Danio rerio: one gene and its partners. The protein of the gene in region 1 interacts with the protein of each later gene in a pairwise test. Links are inferred from orthologs where the notes say so. Each region holds a gene or a part of one and is shown on either strand. Other genes may lie near its edges. The genes, in order: arrdc1b, wwp2 and itcha.

Evidence for each region.
Region 2: the proteins of arrdc1b (region 1) and wwp2 interact in binary tests that used the Homo sapiens proteins (3 or more experiments, as listed by UniProt). The link is inferred for Danio rerio from reciprocal best matches to the Homo sapiens genes ARRDC1 and WWP2.
Region 3: the proteins of arrdc1b (region 1) and itcha interact in binary tests that used the Homo sapiens proteins (3 or more experiments, as listed by UniProt). The link is inferred for Danio rerio from reciprocal best matches to the Homo sapiens genes ARRDC1 and ITCH.

What each region holds. Positions count from the first base shown.
Region 1 is NC_133196.1:16,162,538-16,169,699, reverse strand, and holds the start of arrdc1b (arrestin domain-containing protein 1b), read left to right. Parts: upstream 1-2,295; 5' UTR 2,296-2,374; coding exon 2,375-2,492; intron 2,493-7,162. UniProt on the Homo sapiens protein: Functions as an adapter recruiting ubiquitin-protein ligases to their specific substrates. Through an ubiquitination-dependent mechanism plays for instance a role in the incorporation of SLC11A2 into extracellular vesicles.
Region 2 is NC_133200.1:37,282,897-37,289,604, forward strand, and holds part of wwp2 (NEDD4-like E3 ubiquitin-protein ligase WWP2), read left to right. Parts: intron 1-1,128; coding exon 1,129-1,285; intron 1,286-2,018; coding exon 2,019-2,140; intron 2,141-5,436; coding exon 5,437-5,574; intron 5,575-6,708. UniProt on the Homo sapiens protein: E3 ubiquitin-protein ligase which accepts ubiquitin from an E2 ubiquitin-conjugating enzyme in the form of a thioester and then directly transfers the ubiquitin to targeted substrates.
Region 3 is NC_133181.1:60,234,276-60,240,983, reverse strand, and holds part of itcha (itchy E3 ubiquitin protein ligase a), read left to right. Parts: intron 1-1,816; 5' UTR 1,817-1,849; coding exon 1,850-1,874; intron 1,875-2,703; coding exon 2,704-2,845; intron 2,846-4,017; exon of another isoform or gene 4,018-6,050; coding exon of another isoform or gene 6,051-6,708. Other genes in the region: uncharacterized protein, read right to left, coding at 6,051-6,708. UniProt on the Homo sapiens protein: Acts as an Acts as an E3 ubiquitin-protein ligase which accepts ubiquitin from an E2 ubiquitin-conjugating enzyme in the form of a thioester and then directly transfers the ubiquitin to targeted substrates.

The DNA of each region.
Region 1 (7,162 bases):
TTAATTCTACTCATTTCAAAAGAGTTTTGAACTCAGTGTAAAAGGTAATAAGTTAATCAAATATCTAATTAAATAAACCTATATGAAGTAAGTTCACAGTACTTATATTGATTCGGTTTTTTTTGTACTTAATGGTTTGTAGCAATCGGTTTCCTCGAATGAATTGAGTCACCTTAACTTTTTGGGTTTTACAGTGTAGGCAGTAGCAGAATTAACTTTATTATTTTGGCTAGGTGCTCTCCTCGACTCTCGCAAAAGATTTTGAGTGAAAATTAGATTTGTGCAGATGAGGAAAATGTTACATTGTGTTAAAGGGCTAGATCACCAAAAATGAAAATATACTCACTATTAATTCTTTTTACCCTCAAGGGGTTATAAATCTTTATGATTTTTTTTCTGTTGAACCCAAGATAAAATATTTTGAAGAAAGCTGAAAACCTATGGGAGTGGTTACAGGCTCTATAACTCTTGATTACAATAAAACTATTTTAAAGTTGTTTACGAACGCCCATTTGTTTGATTGCTATTCATTTAGCTGTCCATAAGGGGGCGTCATAGGCAAGTATTTGTAATTACTGGATTTGGTTTATAAAGCAAAGTTCAGTTTATCTGTAAAATACTTTCCAGTAAGATAACTACATCTTTATATATATTTAAAAAATAATAATAATAATAATAAAAAAAAACTTTTTAAAAAACTTTTTTTGTTTCTCTTGTTTAAAACATTTTAACACAGAAGTTTAGTTTAAAAATACCAATTTGACATATTTTTTTAAAGCCCATGCATAAATGACTTTAATAAAACTGAAATGTTTTTCCATTAAGGCTTAACTGAATGTGAACCACAAGCAGACCTTTCAGAACAAGAGGAAATCATCACAGTTTCAGCAGATAAGAGGTGTGCAGTTCCCATCATGAGATGAATTTATTATTCTCAGAACAATGGCAGAAGAGATTTCTGTTCAGTTTTATCAATGCTTGTGTCGCCAGACAGATGGAGCTGTAGATTCCTAATGATTTTCCTGCTTGGCTATGAAGAAAATACAGTGTGGAGCAAAAAGAAAAGAAAAGAAAAAAAAAACAGGTCTGTGAAATTGTGAAATGTTTGAGGAAAAGGTAAAAAGTTTAAATAATGGATTATATATGTATTATATTATATATATACAGTGCTCAGCATATATGAGTGCATTCCATTTTGAAAATGAATATTTTTGTCAATTTCTCAGTGAATATGGGTAATATATAGCTGCATTTAAACAAAACAGATTTATAAACAGATACATTTATTAAAATAATATTATAGTCAGAGAACATCTTTAGAAATGGAAAGATAATACATTTAAATTTATGCAAAATATTGCAAACAAAAGTAATAATTATAATCTACAACATTTTAACAAAAAAATATATTTTTTTTCTTCTCTAACATACATTTGGGCTACAAATTTTCAATTATTATTGTAAGTTACTTTTTTTTTAGATTAGCTCCAGATTTGGCATTTCAGTACTGACTAAACTAATGTATATGCAGAAATATAATATTATAAAGCATCCTATAGAAAATGTTTATTTAAATTAAAGATTTGTGGGGGGTGTATTCATGTTTGCTAAGCACTGTTTATAAACACACACACACACACACACACACATACACATACACATACACACACACACACACACACACACACACACATATATATATATATATATATATATATATATATATATATATATATATATATATATATATATATATATAAACAGTTTTTAAACACTGATTAACACTGACATAGGAGATATTTTTACAATAAGATATTTAAAGCATAAAACAAAATCTTAATGTTTATCAGTAGTAGAAATTAAATATCTATTATAAACAAATGAACAAATACAGATTGTAAGATTACACTACGATATAAATGTAAGTATTTTTCCACATTTGATATGTTCATATATTAATTTGTTAGGCCTGTAACAATTAGGCCTTAAATAAAATTTTGCAGAAATGTGCAGACACATGGTTTCAGAATATTTAAAACATAAATAGTAACTCCTAGTAATGAACTTTTATTGAACTACAAAACATTAATCTATTTTATAATAATGAGAAAGAAAGAAAGAAAGAAAGAAAGAAAGAAAGAAAGAAAGAAAGAAAGAAAGAAAAAGAAAGAAAGAAAACATTATGTCACGATTACTTGAAACAACCGTAAAGAGCAGAATGACTGACATCCCGATGACGTCAGCGCTCGCAAATGGGCGGAGTCTTGAGAGCCGCAGGTGGGACGTCAAACTGGACGCTGCTTTCACCCGTAGTTTAGCCGTCGATTTTTTTTTCTCATCCTCCGCGAGTGCGTGAGAGGCGCTTCTGGAAGACATGGGGAAGGTTCAGGAATTCGAGATTACTTTCACTAACAACAAAGTGGTCTACAACCCCGGTGAATCCATATCAGGAACTGTGAGAATTAAATCAAGCCACTCCTTGCAGTTTAAAGGTAAGCGATGCTCTGTAGTCGTACATCTTCAGTCTTTTACAGTAGGAACATGATTTCCATTAACTACACAGTTGGTAAGCTCCAGGGTTTCCCCAGTTCACGTATGAACGGTATTGAATCAATGCTTGTCAACATTGTCGTGTCGCTGAATGAACGTGTTGAATGTTTGCATGTTGACATTCGGCATCCGTCGCTTCTGTTTCAGTGCTTGTTCATAAATGTGTATTTTGAGGGATTAAGCAGTGTTATCGGAGGGCATCGACGTCTTCATTCTTGTTTCTTATTAACCTGAGCGTACATCCTGTTTCTCATGTGCTGCTGTTGGTTTCGGTCCGATTGCACAATCACACCCGAGTCGTTTCTGGTTCATGAAACACGCTGTATGTGGTTCGCGTTTCAACAAGTGTGGTTTGATGCCTGTCTTCACTTCGTTTTCTTCTTTAAACGTCCTCAAAATAGTGCACATTCAGAACTAACAGGCAAAAGTATCCAGGACGCGACGCTTGCGCTTAGAAACGCGACGCTCATGAGGTCATTTGCTAAACGCAATTGTACTAAAACATTAGACAAAAATTTAGGGAAAGACTATGTAATAGACCGCTAATAAGCACAAAAATGTACTTCCAAAACGTTAAATGAATTATGTCTTAGTGAACAAAACCCGTTCAAGAAAATAAATGTGTAATGTAAGGCTAAAATGTAAGAACTTGTCATAAATGTTTGTCATAAATGTCTAATTTCACGATTAGAGGGTGGAGTTTTTAAACAAATTTCTGAAGTCCGCAGTTTCTTGTTAAGTTATTTGGTTATTTATCTGGAAAGCTACAACTGAGAAGGTTCTTTTTAGGTTTTTATGTAACAGAGACTGTAAAATAGAAAGAGAACTTCTTATTTAAAGGGAACATTTTATGTTAGAAAAACACTTTGACTAACCAACAGAGAATGTTCTGGAAAACAAAAATGGTCAGATCAACACTTATTCTGAGCAATTTCAGCATGGATGTGATTTGCAATAAAATCTCACAAAATCAATTCACAAAGAAAGTAAACGTAAACAATTTTTTCATTAAGAAAACATGTCGCTTGAACAGAATATCCAGCCTGATCTCACAAAGAAATGTAGCTATTTTAGGTTTTGTCAGTTTAGTGTCTAATTCAAGTTCATTCATAGGAAAATGTACGATTTTAACAAGCGTGGCACCAGACCCCACCCCTAAAACCAATCTTCATTGGGGATAAGCAAATCTTACTAAATTGTTTGAATGACAATTTATGCGAATTAGCCACTAAATCAAAAAGTTACAAATTGCTGTGAGATTGTTTTGGTTTGACATGTTCTAAACAAATAAAATATTGTTTAGTTTGGTTAAGAAATGTTAGTGCATGTTAGTAAAAAAAAACAGCCTTTTGAAATAACAAAATTTGTTCTTATTGATGAATTTATTCATTCATTCATTTTCTTGTCGGCTTAATCCCTTTATTAATCCAGGATCGCTACAGCGTAATGAACCGCCAACTTATCCAGCAAGTTTTAACACACCGGATACTCTTCCAGCCGCAATGCACCCCAGTTTTAATGCACCCCACCCCATAACCAAACCGTCGTTGGGGGATGAGCAAATCATACTAAATTAAAAGGTTACGAATTGCGATATGGAATTGGAATATCGCAAAAGTTCTCATGTCGCCATAATAATTGTCTTTGTCAGCATACATTGATGTACAATTACTTAGTACAAATGAATTCCCTGGTCATCTTTAAACAAAATCTGAACATTTCCTTTTGAATAATATTTGTAATATTTACAAAAAATATTTTTAAGAATTTATAAAATGACATTTAGTTTTTTATAAATAGAAATATTAGTATTTTTTAAATGCCACACTGCACAGCCTCCATTAGTAAAAACTAGCAAAATGTGAATCCCTAAAAAAGGCATAACCTTTCTCATGAGTGTGTATTTGTGCTGTTACGTGTCAAATCAATATTACAGCTTTTTAAACTGATGGATTTTAATGATGTGCTGTCTAAGTCCCTCATATTGTTGTATTATATGAGTTTATCATCATGTTGCAGATAAATATCAATGCAAGTGTATAACTACAGTTACAGACATGCATACACAGACACTTTACTCTAGACTGATTACCATGTCAGTTGTCAAAACATCTAAAAGAAAAGCCATAATTGTGAAGACATCTTAACTTCTGGCAGCCCCAAACCCTCCGCACCCTCCGCTAACCAAATTTTTGCATACCGCTTGTCATTGGGGAAAGAGATAAGAAAGTAGGTTAGACAAGGTGCTTTTTACACAGTGTGAATATGCACAAAGAACGCATTGTAAGAGTTTTCATCGAACTGTTGGGTTTAGTGTAGGCGAGACTTAATAGACAGACATAAGAGATGTTCCAATGAAACAACTCCGTAAGCTCATTTTCCTTTTTGCCGTTCCACTTATTGTTTGTGTTCACACTTGAGACTAATGTGTTGCATGAAATTGTTGTGCATTTTCACTCAACTCAGGAACCCCACCCTTATTTGTGACACACACTGTATGAAAAACCGATAGGCGATCTCCTGTGGTCATGTTTCTGTTTCTCTCAGTTGTTCCTGTCAACAATGAGAAAGCACCTTTTATTGTCCATCAATGTGGATTGGTGCATTGTTTATGTTCTCTCTAGTGTTTATCAGTTGCATGCGTGAAAGATGACATCACCAGATGATGAGGTCATGTGACTGGTGTGATTAGTCATTGTCTGTTGGCACTTTAATTCATTAGGACTTCCTGCCGTTCCCATGTTGGTACTTTAGGAATTGGCTCGGAGCGCCTTCACCTTGAGTCAAATGTGGAAAACCTGCATCTACTTTGGATTTGTGGCATTCCCTCCAGGAGCCATTGTGCATAGGAAAAGTGCTAGTTGGTTTGAAGGGCGTTTTCTTTGCATCCAAATATGCTGCTTCCATATGTTACTTTAGACCCTAAGAGCAGTCGTGTCAGTTTTTTGAGATTTAAAATGAAACTCATAAACTAAAACTTGTTCATGACATGAAAACATGAAAGCTGAATAAATGTGATTTTCATCGATGTATGGCTTGTTAGGATAGGATGATGTTTAGCTAAGATACGACTTTTTGAATAACTGTGAGTTAAACCAACACAATTCTTTAGTTCTTTTGGGGGGGGGGTAACAACTTAAATGTTATATTGTTTTATGGATTTGTATCATTAGGGTTTTAACAGTATTACTTTTTTTATTGATACCACGTTCTACTTTAACGGTTCTCTTATCGGTACTTTTGGTAAAAAAATTATTTAAAAAAATAAACAGAATGAACTAATTAATTTAGTTAACGTTTTTTGGGAGTTAACTGTGTTTTAAATACAGTTTTGGAGCATCCTGCAATGTAAAAAATAAGCTGTTTTTTATAATTTCTTAAGCATAGTTTATTATTAGGCTATTCTTTTGCTATATTTGTAAATGCGGCTGATGTAAAAGCATTTTTAATGTTTAGATTTATTTAGGCTACTGCAGAAAAAATACTGTTTTCAATGTAACCGAATGTGTGTTTATTAAAAGTGCTAATATTATACCAATTTAGGTGATTGACTGCTGGCATAACGATGTGGATGATGTAATGTTCTTGTTAGTAGCTAGCAGTCAAAAACTATTCATTTGTCTTTCTGCAGTTTTGAAAGATACTTCCACTTAGCCAGATTGCTTGCGTTTCCGCTTATACAAGAAAACAACTTGTTACGTTTGTTGCAATGGGCATTGTCGCTGTCCACTCAGGAAATATTACCCATTTGGTTCACTTTGCAAGCGCACAAGCAGTGTGTTATGAAAGTCGCGAGCCATGTGTGTGCATTTAGCGTGAGCCTCTACTGAGTGCACGCACAGCCAAGAACTGTAAAGGCTTTTATATTTGACGCATTCGCCGGAAACACGAGCATTTCTCATGTGAGATTGCCAACTGTGTAGATGAATATCAAATATCGCAAATTAGATAAGGTTGGTCAGTTAAATTATGCACCTGTAATTAATGCTTATTCAGCAATAATTCTCCAGTACATATAGCAGAACCGTTAACGCCAGAGCTTATCGATACTTTGTTCTTTTATAATGCGGCACCGGTACCGATAAAGTACAGTTTCAGTACCCATGCCTAGCTTTATGACAACTGAATTGTTTATTTACTAACTTAATTTTTTTTTTTTTTACAAATTTAAGTGGATTGAACGTAAAACTATTAAGTTGTGCACCCTAAAACATTAGAAATGTGTTGTTTAATTTGTTTTTGATTAAAGGTTTCACCTAAAATTTAAATGTATTTACTCTCCCTCAGTTGGTTACAAACCTTTATGAGTTTCTTTCTTCTATAACAAGTGAAGAAATCTAATAACCTGTGATGTAATGATAGACTTTTATTAAGTGAACTATCCCTTTCACAGTAAACTACCATATTTTATTAACTTATACAATGTTAATACACCAACATTTTCATGTATTAACATCTACACAGTGTACCTTTGTAATACATTAACAAAAACACCACCAAAAGCAGGTGGTGTTGAGAAAGTCACGTATTGAACAACAGCTCATCTAAAACAGCCTTTCCACAAGCAGAGAAACATACTAACATGATGTCGTTCACACAATAAACACCATCA
Region 2 (6,708 bases), on another chromosome or scaffold:
CCTGTTAGTTTACTCACCCACAGACATCTTTGATGGTCTTTGGCGACTCTTTTTACTCATTAAAGAAGACTTTTTCGCTGAATCTGACTCTTGGTGATTTTTATATAATGGCAGTGAATGGTGACTGGTTTTGGAGATTAAAAATGAACACTTACAAACAATTCTAAATCAATAACCGTGGCTCCTGAAGACACGCTGAGGTCTTGTGAAGCAAAGTGATCAATCAGTGTAAGAAATTAAACATTATTTATAAGATTGCTATTATTAACTTTGATCCACAGCCTGGTCAAACAGATATCGGCGCATGTCTGAATGTAGTCCGACTGTTGTCTGTTTGTAATGAGCGGACTACATTCACATGTGCATCGAGACCTGTTTAACCAGACTGTGTCAGGTTTTTGTCCTTAAACTGCTCCTTTTAGTTCTTTACGCTCTTCCAAATCCGTACCAGATCTCATCCAAAGCCTTCTGTTGTGTTTTGATGTGATTTTTGACCATCGTAGCTGTGAGATGAAATGGCTGCTATCATTCAGCGTAGTGATACAGAGCCGTAATTAGGTTGCAGATTATTAAAATGTCTATTTCAGAGGTCGCCACAAAATGAACCCCCAGTTTCAGCATATGTTTTACGCAGTGGATGCCCTTCCAGCTGCAACCCAGTATTGGGAAACACCCATACACTCATTCACACACACTCGTACACTAAGGCCAATTCGGTTCATTCAGTTCCCCTATTGCGGATGTGTATGGGGGAAACAGGAGCACCCGAAGGAAACTAATGCCAACTGACCCAGCTGGGTCTCGAACCAGCGACCTTCTTGCTGTGAGGCCCCAGTGCTAACCACTGAGCCACTGTGCTGCCCTTTTTAATTAATGTTTATGATTGTTTTGTTGATTTCCAACACTAACTGTATTGCACCCAAAACCTGCCGGAAGCACTTTAGCTGTGTGTTTATTTGAAAATAACCGCACACCTCAGAATGCTCATTAGCCAATGAGAATCAAGCATTCAAAATCCCTGGAGTATATGTTATATTTAAGTCTTAAAACTTCGTGTTCCCTCAATGTTCTCTTTCTCACTGAAGTTGTTTTGATTGAAGTGTTCATCGTCTTCTCCTCATCTGCTAGTGTTGTCTGCGAAGCCTCAGTCTCCTAAACTGCCCAATCGTCACTCTCGCCTGAGTTCATTTGTGGAAGTGACCGCCGACGGCCTGAGCAGCGAGACCAAGAAAACGGGCAAACGCAGCGGACACCTCGAGCTGCAGTGGAATGAAGACCTCACACTGTAAGCCTTCACGCGTCACTTTTCATTGAAGAATATAATATTTAAGAAGTGCCATGAAAACTGATTAATTCATCATCATGATGATCATTTTAATAACTCATTTCTAATAATGGATTTATTTTATCTTTGCCATGATGAGAGTAATTAATATTTGACTAGATATTTTTCAAGACACTTCTATACAGCTTAAAGTGACATTTAAAGGCTTAACTAGGTTAATTAGGGTAACTAGGCGAGTTTGGGTAATTTGGAAAATTATTGTATAACGATGGTTTGTTCTGTAGACTATCACGAAAAAAATTAGCTTAAAAGGGCTAATTTTGTTCCTAAAATGGTGTTTAAAAAAAATTAAAACTGGATTTATTCTAGCCGAAATAAAACATAAGACTTTCTCCAGAAGAAAAAATATTATTAGACATACTGTGAAAATTTCCTTGCTCTGTTAAACAACATTCAGGAAAATATTTTAAAAAAGAAGAGAAAAATTTGAAGGGGGTGAATAGTACTGACTTCAACTATATTATAAAAACTCTCCCTTTACCATTTAACTTGCTCAGGTTACTAGCGCATCCTCGTCTTAATTGACCAACTTAGTCCTTATACGTAACTTACGTGTGTGTGTGTGTATATATATTTTTTTCCTAACGTGTGTGTGTGTGTGTGTGTGTGTGTGTGTGTGTGTGTGTGTGTGTGTGTGTGTGTGTGTGTGTGTGTGTGTGTGTGTGTGGTGCAGGAACGTGACTCCTCAGAGTCGTCTGGATCTGAAGGTGTGGAGTTGTCACACTTTGAGGAAGGAGCTTCTGGGCAGCGCCACCATCGACTTGTTGGACACTCTACGAACACATGATGGCAAGAGTGAGTTTAAACCCACACAAACACACACGGATACTCACTCTCACATGCACTGACACACGCTTGCACACTAACTCTCACAGACAAGCACAGATGCAGAGATCTGTTTGTTGGTTTAGAGCAGGGGTCACCAATCCTGGTCCTGGAGGGCCGGTGTCCCTGCAGGGTTTTGCTCCAACTTGCCTCAACACACCTGCCTGGGTGTTTCAAGTATACCAAGTAAGAGCTTGATTAGCTCGTTCAGGTGTGTTTGATTAGGGTTGGAGCAAAAATCTGCAGGACACCGGCCCTCCAGGAACAAGTTTGGTGACCACTGTTTTAGAGAAATAATGACAGATTATGGCAGAGTTTACGCTGCAGGGTTTAAGTGACTTAATTCAGATTTTTTTTTTTCTGCATGTGGCACAGATCGGATATGAGAGCGAGAGCACTATCCACCACATAACCAATGTAAACTGATAAAACTATTGCATGCATCACGTGCACATATTACGCCATGGACATGACATTAAGATGCCTACTCGTTTAAAAAGGCCTAGATTAAAAGAAGATGGCCAAATCTTTTCTGTCAAACTATTGGAAAGCAACTTGTCAAAAATAATAATAAATAAATGAAACTCTGCAAACAGATTAAATAAAAGAATAGAGAAAAGAGCGCTTTTTCATTATCAGCTGTCAGTCAGCGTCCGAATTTTTTTTAATTATTTTTTTTTTTGCGCAGTGTAAATGCAGAGAACCGTTCAGGAGTCACTTCTAAAAGATGATGTGAGCAGAAATGAAAAAAAAATCACATACAGTCACAATCGTATTGACCATCAAGATCTGCAGTGTAAGTGCAGCCAATGTAATGAGTGAACCTTTTTTTTTTTTTTTTTTTTTTCCCCACTTGATTTAAAGGCCTCTCGAGGTGCGTGAGGAGCAACTTCACTAATATCTGAGAACACTGACCCTGATGCTCTTTATTAAATAGATTGATTTGTTTTAAGTTCTGGGAATAACGGTCTGTTGTGCAGGTTTGGTGTGTAATTAATACTGGAGTGTTCTGATATGATCCGGAAGGGTTTAGCAGATCACTCCGCGCGGTTAGGCCCAGAGTTTTTTTGGGGGTAAAGTGGGTAAAGATGTTTCTGAGTCAGTTTTGTGCTTGCAGAAAAGCAGAGAAATGCTGCGTGATGGCGTTTTTAAGACTGTCAGCCTTATTTCCTTAGTTTGGGCTTTTTCTGTTTATTGGCTTATTTATTTTATTTGTTTTGTTTGGTGTGTTTTGGTCAAAGAAAAGAAATCACCACTTTAATGTTTGCAAACTTTTATAGCTATAAAACCAACAATCCATCTATAAAAACACTGTTAACAAAAGTAATATTGTTAGTATTGTTCAGTTCAATTCAGCTTTATTTGTATATTGCTTTTACAATGTAGATTGTGTCAAAGCAGCTTCACATAAATGGTCATAGTAACTGGATCAGGGTAGTTCAGTTTTTAGTGTTTAAGTTCAGTTTTAAGTTCAGGTTAGCTCAGTTCAGTGTGGTTTGAAATCATTACTGAGTCCATACACTGAAGGGTAAATTCATTGAGTAGCTTTTCAGATCCTGAACCATGCAAGCCAGTGGCGACAGCGACTTATCATCCTTACAATAACATTTGTTTCAAAGTTCTCCCTGTATTTATGCATTTATGTTTGTTGTGAATAAATTTTAGTTTATACTTTTTAAAACTTATGGTAATAAAAAAAAAAAAAACCACACACACACACACACACACACACACATCCAAGAGCAAACATTCCCAATAAATTCCAAAAAGTATTACTTTTTTTGGTCGTTTAGTTTTTTGAAACAAGTAGTAACACATATTTAATATTTTGAGAGATTTACAGTAAGAATAGTGATTTGAAATACTGAGAATAAAGCACTATAATAAGTTCTACGAATATTTCAACAATGCTCTGATTAAAATAAAGCATTATTTTGGAATTTTCTCTCAGCTTCAAAATGTCCTTTTTTTTTTTTTTTTTTTTAAATAGTTTTTGAAACTAAAACATATATATTTATTATACATTTTATATATAAAACTATGTTTTGACACTATTTAAAATGTGGCTTAAATTTCAATTTTTTTAATAGGGCATGTAAATTATCCACTGCCCATTACAAAGAAAAATGTTAAAGTTTTGTTCTGCAAGTCTTAAAAGGTCTTAAAGTCTTTGTGAAACCTGCAGAAAGCCTGATATAGAAAGCACTTTGAATTAATGCGTGGCTTTTTTTTTTAAGGTTTCAAATGGGTTATGTGATTTTTTTTAAATGTCAAAATATCCAGGAAATGATATTCCAGCTGTACACTTATTTCTGTTCTGATGAAAGCTCATACTTTTCTCTGACGTGTTCCTACTGAAATGTATTTAAAGTTTGATCATATTTGAAATCATGAAAAGCTTCATCAAATGGGTCCACAAATAAAAAATCTTTAATCTTTTATAATGTTCAGCAAATTGAGTTTTGCTATGAAAAATGTTTTTGTTGCTAAAGCACCTGTGATGTTAACATTAAAATAGAACCTGTGAAAACAAATGACAAATCAGAGACTAAAAACAAAAACGAAACAACAGTATATTTAACAGTCAAGATTTAAGCTTTCCTTTATTGCAAATTAGGATTCAGTGTGTGTATGCACGAGCGTGCATGAGTGCGTGTGTGCATTCATGTGCGTGCATTGGAGTGTTTGTGCACTTGTTCATTGCGTTCGTGTGTGCAAGTGCTTGTTCGTGCGTGTGCATGTCTTCATGCATGTACATTCGTGTGTGTGCGTGTTCGTGCATGTTTGGGTGTGCATTTGCGCAAGTGTGTGTTTGTGCACGCATGCATACGTGCATGTTTGTACATGTTTATGCATGGGCGTGCATGTGTGAGCGTATGCGTTTGTGCATGTTAGTGTGTGTGTGCGCATTGATGTTTGAGTGAGCACAAGCGTATGAGCATTTACGTGTGTGCGTACATGCATTTGCATGTGTGCGCATGTGCATACATGTTCATGTATGCGTGCGTGTGCATACATGTTCAAGCGAGTGTGTGTGCATGCATGTGTTTATAAGCACATCACTAATGTTTTTATTGGTCTACCTTTTTTTTTTTTTAATGACAGGCATCAATGTATTGTTCTGCTAGTGCTAAACAATTAGTTTCATCGCCTAATTCACATAATACCCCCCCTCTCTTCTCTCTCTCTCTCTCTCTCTCTCTCTCTCTCTCTCTCTCTCTCTCTCTCTCTCTCTCTCTCTCTCTCTCTCTCTCTCTCTCTCTCAGTGGAGAACGTTCAGCTCAGTCTGGTTCTGCAGACGGAGAACAAAGGCTCGGTTGTAGCAGGCGGTGAGCTCAACGTCTGTCTGGACGGCCTGGTTGTTGATCTGGGATCTTTGCCCAATGGCAGCGCCGCCTCAGACAGTGAGTCCCCTTCACTGGCACACACACATGCACACTTCATAGGGAACACTGCTAGAACACACAGAACAAACGCATGAACAAGCGCACATTGATGAGGCTGTGCTGGACAGAGCGGGTTTGAGCCTCACAGAGAGCTTTTCTCCTGTGTGTGTGTGTGTGTTCAGATTTTCTCCTGCAGGTCACAGGGTTTATTGACAACCACAAACTCAATCTGTTCACACACTCGCTCGGGGTGGAGAGGAAGTCGTTCTCTTACTTTCTTACTGGAGGAGAAAAAGACACCGTTTACTTTACAGTCCAAAAAGTGTGGTGGAGTTATGATTAAAACAAAAGTGTGTTTGAAAGTTTAAAATAGTGCTTATTTTAAAATGTTGTTCCTGTACAAAGCTGCCTTATATTTTAATAATTGTTTTAGTTATGACTTAAGACCATTTCAAATGGATTACCTTTAAACCTTTAAATTTTTTTTTTAACCGATTTAAAATGATTTTGGTTTAAAAACCTTGAAATATGGTGATGTCAGGGTACACAAAGTATTTTAGCTGCTTGGTTAAACCACTTGTTTAAAATGAGCTCAAACACAATTATTGAGTTTTTAGAGTCAACTTGTTTTTGTTAAACTTAAAATTTAAAAAAAACATTAAGTTAATTTGATCAATTTGCATTGAGACAAGATTGAACCCAAGGAATTGTTGAACCCAATGTATTACAGCAAAGAAAGAAAGAGAACGAAAGAAATTAAGGTATGATTTGGAGTCCAAAAAGTGTGGGATAATTATGGTTAAAGTGTTTAAAAGAGGTCTTGTAGAGCATAAGCAGTGATTTATTTTAAAATGTTGTTCCTGTATAAAGGAGCTGTCACTATATTAATTTTTTTTTATGTAGTGACCAAACATTTGTAATTGTAATTATATTTCACAATAGTAAGTCTTTACTGTACATTTAAACAGGTTTTAAAACTTAAAACTATTTAAAACATTTTCAAACACAAACCAATAAATTTTAAACCTTTTAAAACAGTTCAAATTTACAACCTTTTCTGTTAAAAAATCTAACTTAAAACCATAAATTAAAGACACATTTTATAAGCACTATAAAATTAAAACCCTTTCCTACTTGAAGTTTCAAATTAAA
Region 3 (6,708 bases), on another chromosome or scaffold:
GCTAATCGCTGGCCACCGTGACGCCCGTTTGAAAGGAGGGAAAGTAGGGTTGGGTAGTTGGGTTTCTTCAAGACGAAGATATTGATTTGAGAAAAGTCTGGTTATTTATAGTGAGTTAAGGACAGGGACGGACTGGGACAAAAATTCAGCCCTGGCACTATAGCCACACCAGCCCACATTATCATACGTACTGTTTGTTTGACATTCTTGCCAAATTTTGATTATGTCCGCGTAACCTTTGATTGAGTCGGCCCCTCTCGAAACTGTCACCGATTGGGCCAAATGCTTAACATTTACTATTATTATTACTATTATTACCATCATCAACGTCATCATAATATTCACATGTTGCACGAGATAAAAGCTGCCTGCATGTAAAAACAATACATATAAAAAAATAATAAAAAAAAAAAAAACTGACCGGCCCACATTTAAAAAAATGGTCCGGCCCATCTAGCATTTGACAGAATTGCCAGATGGCCAGTCCGCCCCTGGTTAAGGATCGTCTGATTGGATAATCTGTCATTAGCTAAAGTTGGAACAGCTGTGAACAATCATAAGCACGTGATCCTCTTGAAATTTGTTTATAAATAAACTTCACTTAGAATATTTCTAACAAGTGCAGTTTAATTGTAATATGCTTTTTAAAACTAATTTGTAAACATAATAGTTTCAATAACTAATTTCTAATTTGATTTATTTTATTTTCTTTTATTTATTTCTTTTCTTTTATTTATTTCTTTTATTATTTATTTTCTGATTTGATTTGTCTTTGCCTTGATGACAGTATAATATTTTACTAGTTATTTTGGTTGGGTACTAGTATTTACCTTATAGTGGCATTTTACAAAGGCTTAACTAGGTTAATTAAGCAAGTGAGGGTAATTAGGTAGATCAATGTGCTTAATTGCAGGGCTCAACAATAAGGACTGCCCGATGGCCCGGGGCCAGCATGTCGGTTGCTTAGGACAGTAGACAGGATCATTACTGGCCCGATCGGGCCACTGATGCCCTGTCACTATAAAGTTTATTTTGGCTGGGACTATTTGTCAATTGCGTGCAAAAACTGTCAGAATCGAGAAACAGTTTGTGTTTTTAAGCCTTGAAATGCTACCTTCTCTATTCCTCTTATCTGATTGGATGTTGTGAGCATGTTATTTTTTTCATAACAACCAGTACAGTGAAGAGACAGCAACATGGCGTCAACATCAAGTGATGATGCCACAGGAAAACATTTGTTTCTAACATCTTGGAAGCAGACATTAATGAGGGTAAACCACGACTAAAAAAATCAAGTGATGTTTTGTACAGTTTGCATCTTTTGTTTTGCAATAAAATACCTGCACATTTTGCTACGTTTGTTTGCAAAACCCTTTGAATTTTGCTCATTATACATTTATTAACATTTTTTAAATATTTAAATTCTAGATTTACAAAAATGTATACATTTTTTTGTTTTGATTTGTGGCTAGGCTAAGAAATAGCTTTTTTTTTTTTTTTTGGTGGGGCAGTGAAAATATTGGCAGGACAAGTCAAAATCTGAACCACTGGTCCGATCGGGCCAGTAGAAAAAATCTTTAGCGTTGAACCCTGGATTGACCTTGTAACTTTTGAAAAGAAGGTAAAAGAAATAAGACTTTCTAAAAAGGATGAAAAATATATAGGAAAATTTGTAAAAATCTCTGCTCGGTTAAACATCACATGGACAATATTTGAAAGAATTTCACTAATAAATGGAGCCTTCAACCTTACTTCTTTCTTAGCATAACATTTTTATATAGAAATTAACAATATTATGCTTATCTCTTCATTTTAGATTTGAGCTGCAAATGCTGTTAATGGCCACAAGATGAAGGCTCAACTTCAGATAACAGGTGAGTTTTATTTATTAAACAAAATGACCTGATGACCTCACATATGTTGGCTGTCTTTTTTTTGTGGAATCATTGCAATGCATCGACGTGGTTAGCACTGTGGCCTCACAGCAAGAAGGTTGCTGGTTTCAGTCCTGCCTGGGCCAGTTGCTATTTCTGTGTTGAGTTTGCATGTTCTCCCTGTGTTGGCTCCTCCGGGTGCTCCGGTTTCCCCCCACAGTCCAAACACATGCACTATAGGGACATTGATTAACTAAATTGGCCATATTGTATAAATGTGTGTGTGAGTGTTTATGGGAGTTTCCCAATACTGGGTTGCAGCTGGAAGAACATCCGCTGCATCAAACATATTCCAGAATAATTGACGGTTCATTCCGCTGCGGCGACCCCTGATAAATAAGGAACTAAGTTGAATGAATTGTGTTTTAGTTGTCATATTAAAGTTTATTTATAAAGCACTTTTTTTTTTTGGAAACACCAGGTGTTCACCAAAGTGCTGCACAAATATGAGTTCAAAATAATAATAAAACATTATGAAATATAATATAGTGGATTAAAAATAATGAGTAAAATAAAATGTGTTTTACACTGTGTTAAACGGCAGACTATAGCGCAGATTAGATTTAGCTAAGCTAGACTTAAATACAGAAAGTGTAAATGTTAAGTGAGTTTAAAGCATCTTCTAAATGACTAAATAGTAATGTAAAAGTGTTTAGGCCCTTTTAACGTGTAAATGGAGACTGTTCCATAGTCAGGGGACAGCCACTGCAAATCTCATCAAATGAACTACTTTAATTGAACTGTGCTTCTGTTTGTCGTGTTTTCTCAGTTCTGTCTGCTAAGCTGCGGGAGAATAAGAAGAACTGGTTTGGGCCCAGTCCTTATGTGGAGGTGTTTGTGGACGGACAGTCGAAGAAGACGGAGAAATGCACCAACACCCACAGTCCCAAATGGAAACAGTCTCTCACTGTGTAAGAGTCAAATATACTGAATCAGTCGCAGAGTGGATCCAGAAGCATTACTCCTAATCTTATATTAGGGCTGCATGATATTGGGAAAATCTGACATCGCAATATTTTGTAATTCTGCTATATATTTAGCAATACTGTATACAGTATTATAACAATACTCAGCATATATGAGTTCACCCCTCACAAATCTCTCTTTTAAATTCATGTTTTATATAAGATGCTATACAATTATTATTTTATTATTATTTATAATAAATTTTAATAGATTTTTTCAAGTTTAATATTTTTCATTAGTTCTGTTGTTTTTGTTGTTAAATATTATGTTTTGTTTTCTAGCATTTCTGTTTAGCACATGTTTATTAGATTGCATTTATTTTATTTAAGCAAAATAATAGCAAAAACTTCATTTAAATTGTACAATTAATACTATTATTAGTAATTAATACTAATACTATTATTAGTACTATTATTAGTACTATATTGTATTAATAATTGATGGCATGGTGGTCCAGTGGTTAGCACCATCACCTCACAGCAAGAAGGCTGCTGGTTCGAATCCCGGCTGGGTCAGTAAAACATACTGGAATAGTTGGCCGTTCATTCTGCTGTGGCGACCCCTGATCAATAAAGGGACTAAGGCCGTACTCACACTAGGTACAGTTGCCTCGAACCGGGCCAAAGCACGCTTGTCCCCCCCTCCCGTCTCCCCCGACGGCCCGGGCTCACACCATATCGGGCCTTGGCACGCTTACGTCATCGCTGCTGCTCTGTTCAGTGAAGCGCTCTCTATGGCAAGCCTTTTTAGCATTTAAATCTTTGTTCTGACTCCATAAATATATTTAGAGATATCTCTAATTATATTTTGACTAGTCATAATTATAATTCCACTACTCAGAATGACAGTTGATGAGATATCTGCCATTACAATTGTACTAGTACGAAATCCGATTGGAGATATCTGCAAATATATTGTGACTGACTAGTCATATTCCTCCATTGACTTCCATTGAAAAATATTTGCAGATATCTCCAAATGAATTTTGACTAGTAACAATTGTAACTAGAGATATTTTTTTTTGAGTTTTTACTAGTCATAATACATTTGTATATAATATTGTATATATGTATATTTGTACATAATACATCTTTAATTCATCATATTTAGAGATATTTACAAATATATTTGAAGATATCTCTAATTAATTTACTAATAGTCGAATTACAGTTGTAGATATCTTGAATTGGATTTTTGACTAGTCAAAATTCATTTGGAGATATCTGCAAATATTTTTCAATGGAAGTCAATGGAGGAATATGACTAGTCAGTCACAATATATTTGCAGATATCTCCAATCTGACTAGTCGAATTATAATTATGACTAGTCAAAATATAATTAGAGATATATCTAAATATATTTATGGATAGTCAGAACAAGGTTTAAATGCTAAAATGGCTTGCCATACACTCTCACCCAGTACCACAGTAGAGATTTTTCTAGTTATATCGTTTCAGTCGTTTGTTATGCATTGACATGCAGTCAAATATTTCGCCAAACAGTCCTTAGGGATGCGGTGACACGCAGTCAGATATTTCACCGGACAGATCCGCCACTTTTGGCACTCATAAACAATCATAAAGCCCTCGTGCTGCAGGAATGAGGAGGTCTGCTGAAGGTGCAGCTGTGGTGCAGTGAGGGGTTTGCGTCTTTAATAAACTACGGCAGTTTGCGTTCACTGAACAGTAAGAATGATTAATAAATCCATATAAAACAGTCCCTTAAAAGTCACGTATCGCTTTCAGTTTCGGGCTTTGGCGTGTTTTGCACTCACACTACAAACGTATCGCGCCAAATCCCAAGTGTACCGCGCTCAGGCACACCTCTTCCAACCGGGCCAGGGCTGGCCAAGTAAACCGTGCTTGAGCCCGATTCAGCGCACTCACACTTCTCAAACGATCCGGGAAACGGGCCTGGGCACGGTACGGATGGCATAGTGTGAGTAGGCCCTAAGTCAAAGAAAAATGAATGAATGAAAAACTGTATGTTCACACTGAAAGCGGCGAGAGCGTCAAAGTAGCCGGACGTCATTCATTTTCAGTGGGAGCCGCCTGCGATAAGTGGTGAGGAGCAGGGCAGCGCGTCTTCCCAAGTCAACTTTATGGTAATGAGCCATGACATGGTTCGGTGGCAAGCAATCAGAATGTAGAAGTCCACCGCTTGAAAGGAGTCCAGAGAACACAGTCACTGTGAACTTTGGTTCCGAACACAGTTATTCCCAAGGGTTTAACCATAGGGGTTTGATTAATGCCATTGCTGGATTTCCAGTTATTTGCAATGTTGTCTTACAGGAACATACATTAAAAAGTTACTGGCCAGTTACTGATGTGCATTAATGTTATATATGTTTTTTTTCTTTAAAAAAGCAGAAATCTTATGCGATAATACAAAACAGTATAGCTGCTTCAGTATATTTCAGACAAATGGACACATTGGATAATTAAGTGGAGCAAAGCTACACCATATGCGACTTGATCTTCCATTGTTAAATGAATTTGATAAAAAGTATGCAATGCTAGAAAGCATGTTTTATGCGGGAATGTACCTGATATGCTGCAACGGCCCCTTTAAATACGTGATCAATGTAGCGAATTTTGACGCTCTCCCCACCGGAGCTGAAGGCAGACAGCATTGTCGCCAGGGCGGCCAGAGCAACCTTTGACACTCACTGCCTTCGGTGTGAACGCACAGTAATTATACCATAAATATTCTCATAGAATCTGGTAAGATTAAACACAAACAAACTTATTGTATTAAACAAACTAATTATTTTTGCAGATATTTTGCTTCCATGTCAGGTTGTTGACAAGGCGAGATTTGAGAAAAATTCAAGTTTAATTGCATTACCACAGTTGAATAAAATAATACGTATAAAAGTTTTAAAGGATAGTTCACCCAAAAATGAACATTTACTCAGTATTACCCTCAACCAATTCCAAACTTTTATGAATTTCTGTCCTATGAATAATATGGAAGTCGATGGTTACTCGTTTCCAACATTCTTCAAACGTATCCTTTTTTTTTTTTGTTCAGCTGAAGAAAGAAACTCATAAAAGTTTGAAACAAGTAACAGATGAGAAGGTGATCATTTTTGGGGTGAACTGTCTCTTTAAGTTTGCAATAGTCCTCAAATCAAATCACTTTTATTGTCACAACATCAGCAGCACGTGTGCTATGATGAGTGAAAAGCTTAGGTGCTGGCTCCAGACAGTACAAAATACAGACAGTGCAAATAAAATGACAGTGCAAAATACAGGAAGTGCAAATAAAATGACAGTGCAAAATACAGACAGTGCAAATAAAATGACAGTGCAAAATACAGGAAGTGCAAATAAAATGACAGTGCAAAATACAGGAAGTGCAAATAAAATGACAGTGCAAAATACAGGAAGTGCAAATAAAATGACAGTGCAAAATACAGGAAGTGCAAATAAAATGACAGTGCAAAATACAGGAAGTGCAAATAAAATGACAGTGCAAAATACAGGAAGTGCAAATAAAATGACAGTGCAAAATACAGGAAGTGCAAATAAAATGACAGTGCAAAATACAGGAAGTGCAAATAAAATGACAGTGCAAAATACAGGAAGTGCAAATAAAATGACAGTGCAAAATACAGACAGTGCAAATAAAATGACAGTGCAAAATACAGGAAGTGCAAATAAAATGACAGTGCGAAATACAGGAAGTGCAAATAAAATGACAGTGCGAAATACAGGAAGTGCAAATAAAATGACAGTGCAAAATACAGGAAGTGCAAATAAAATGACAGTGCAAAATACAGGAAGTGCAAATAAAATGACAGTG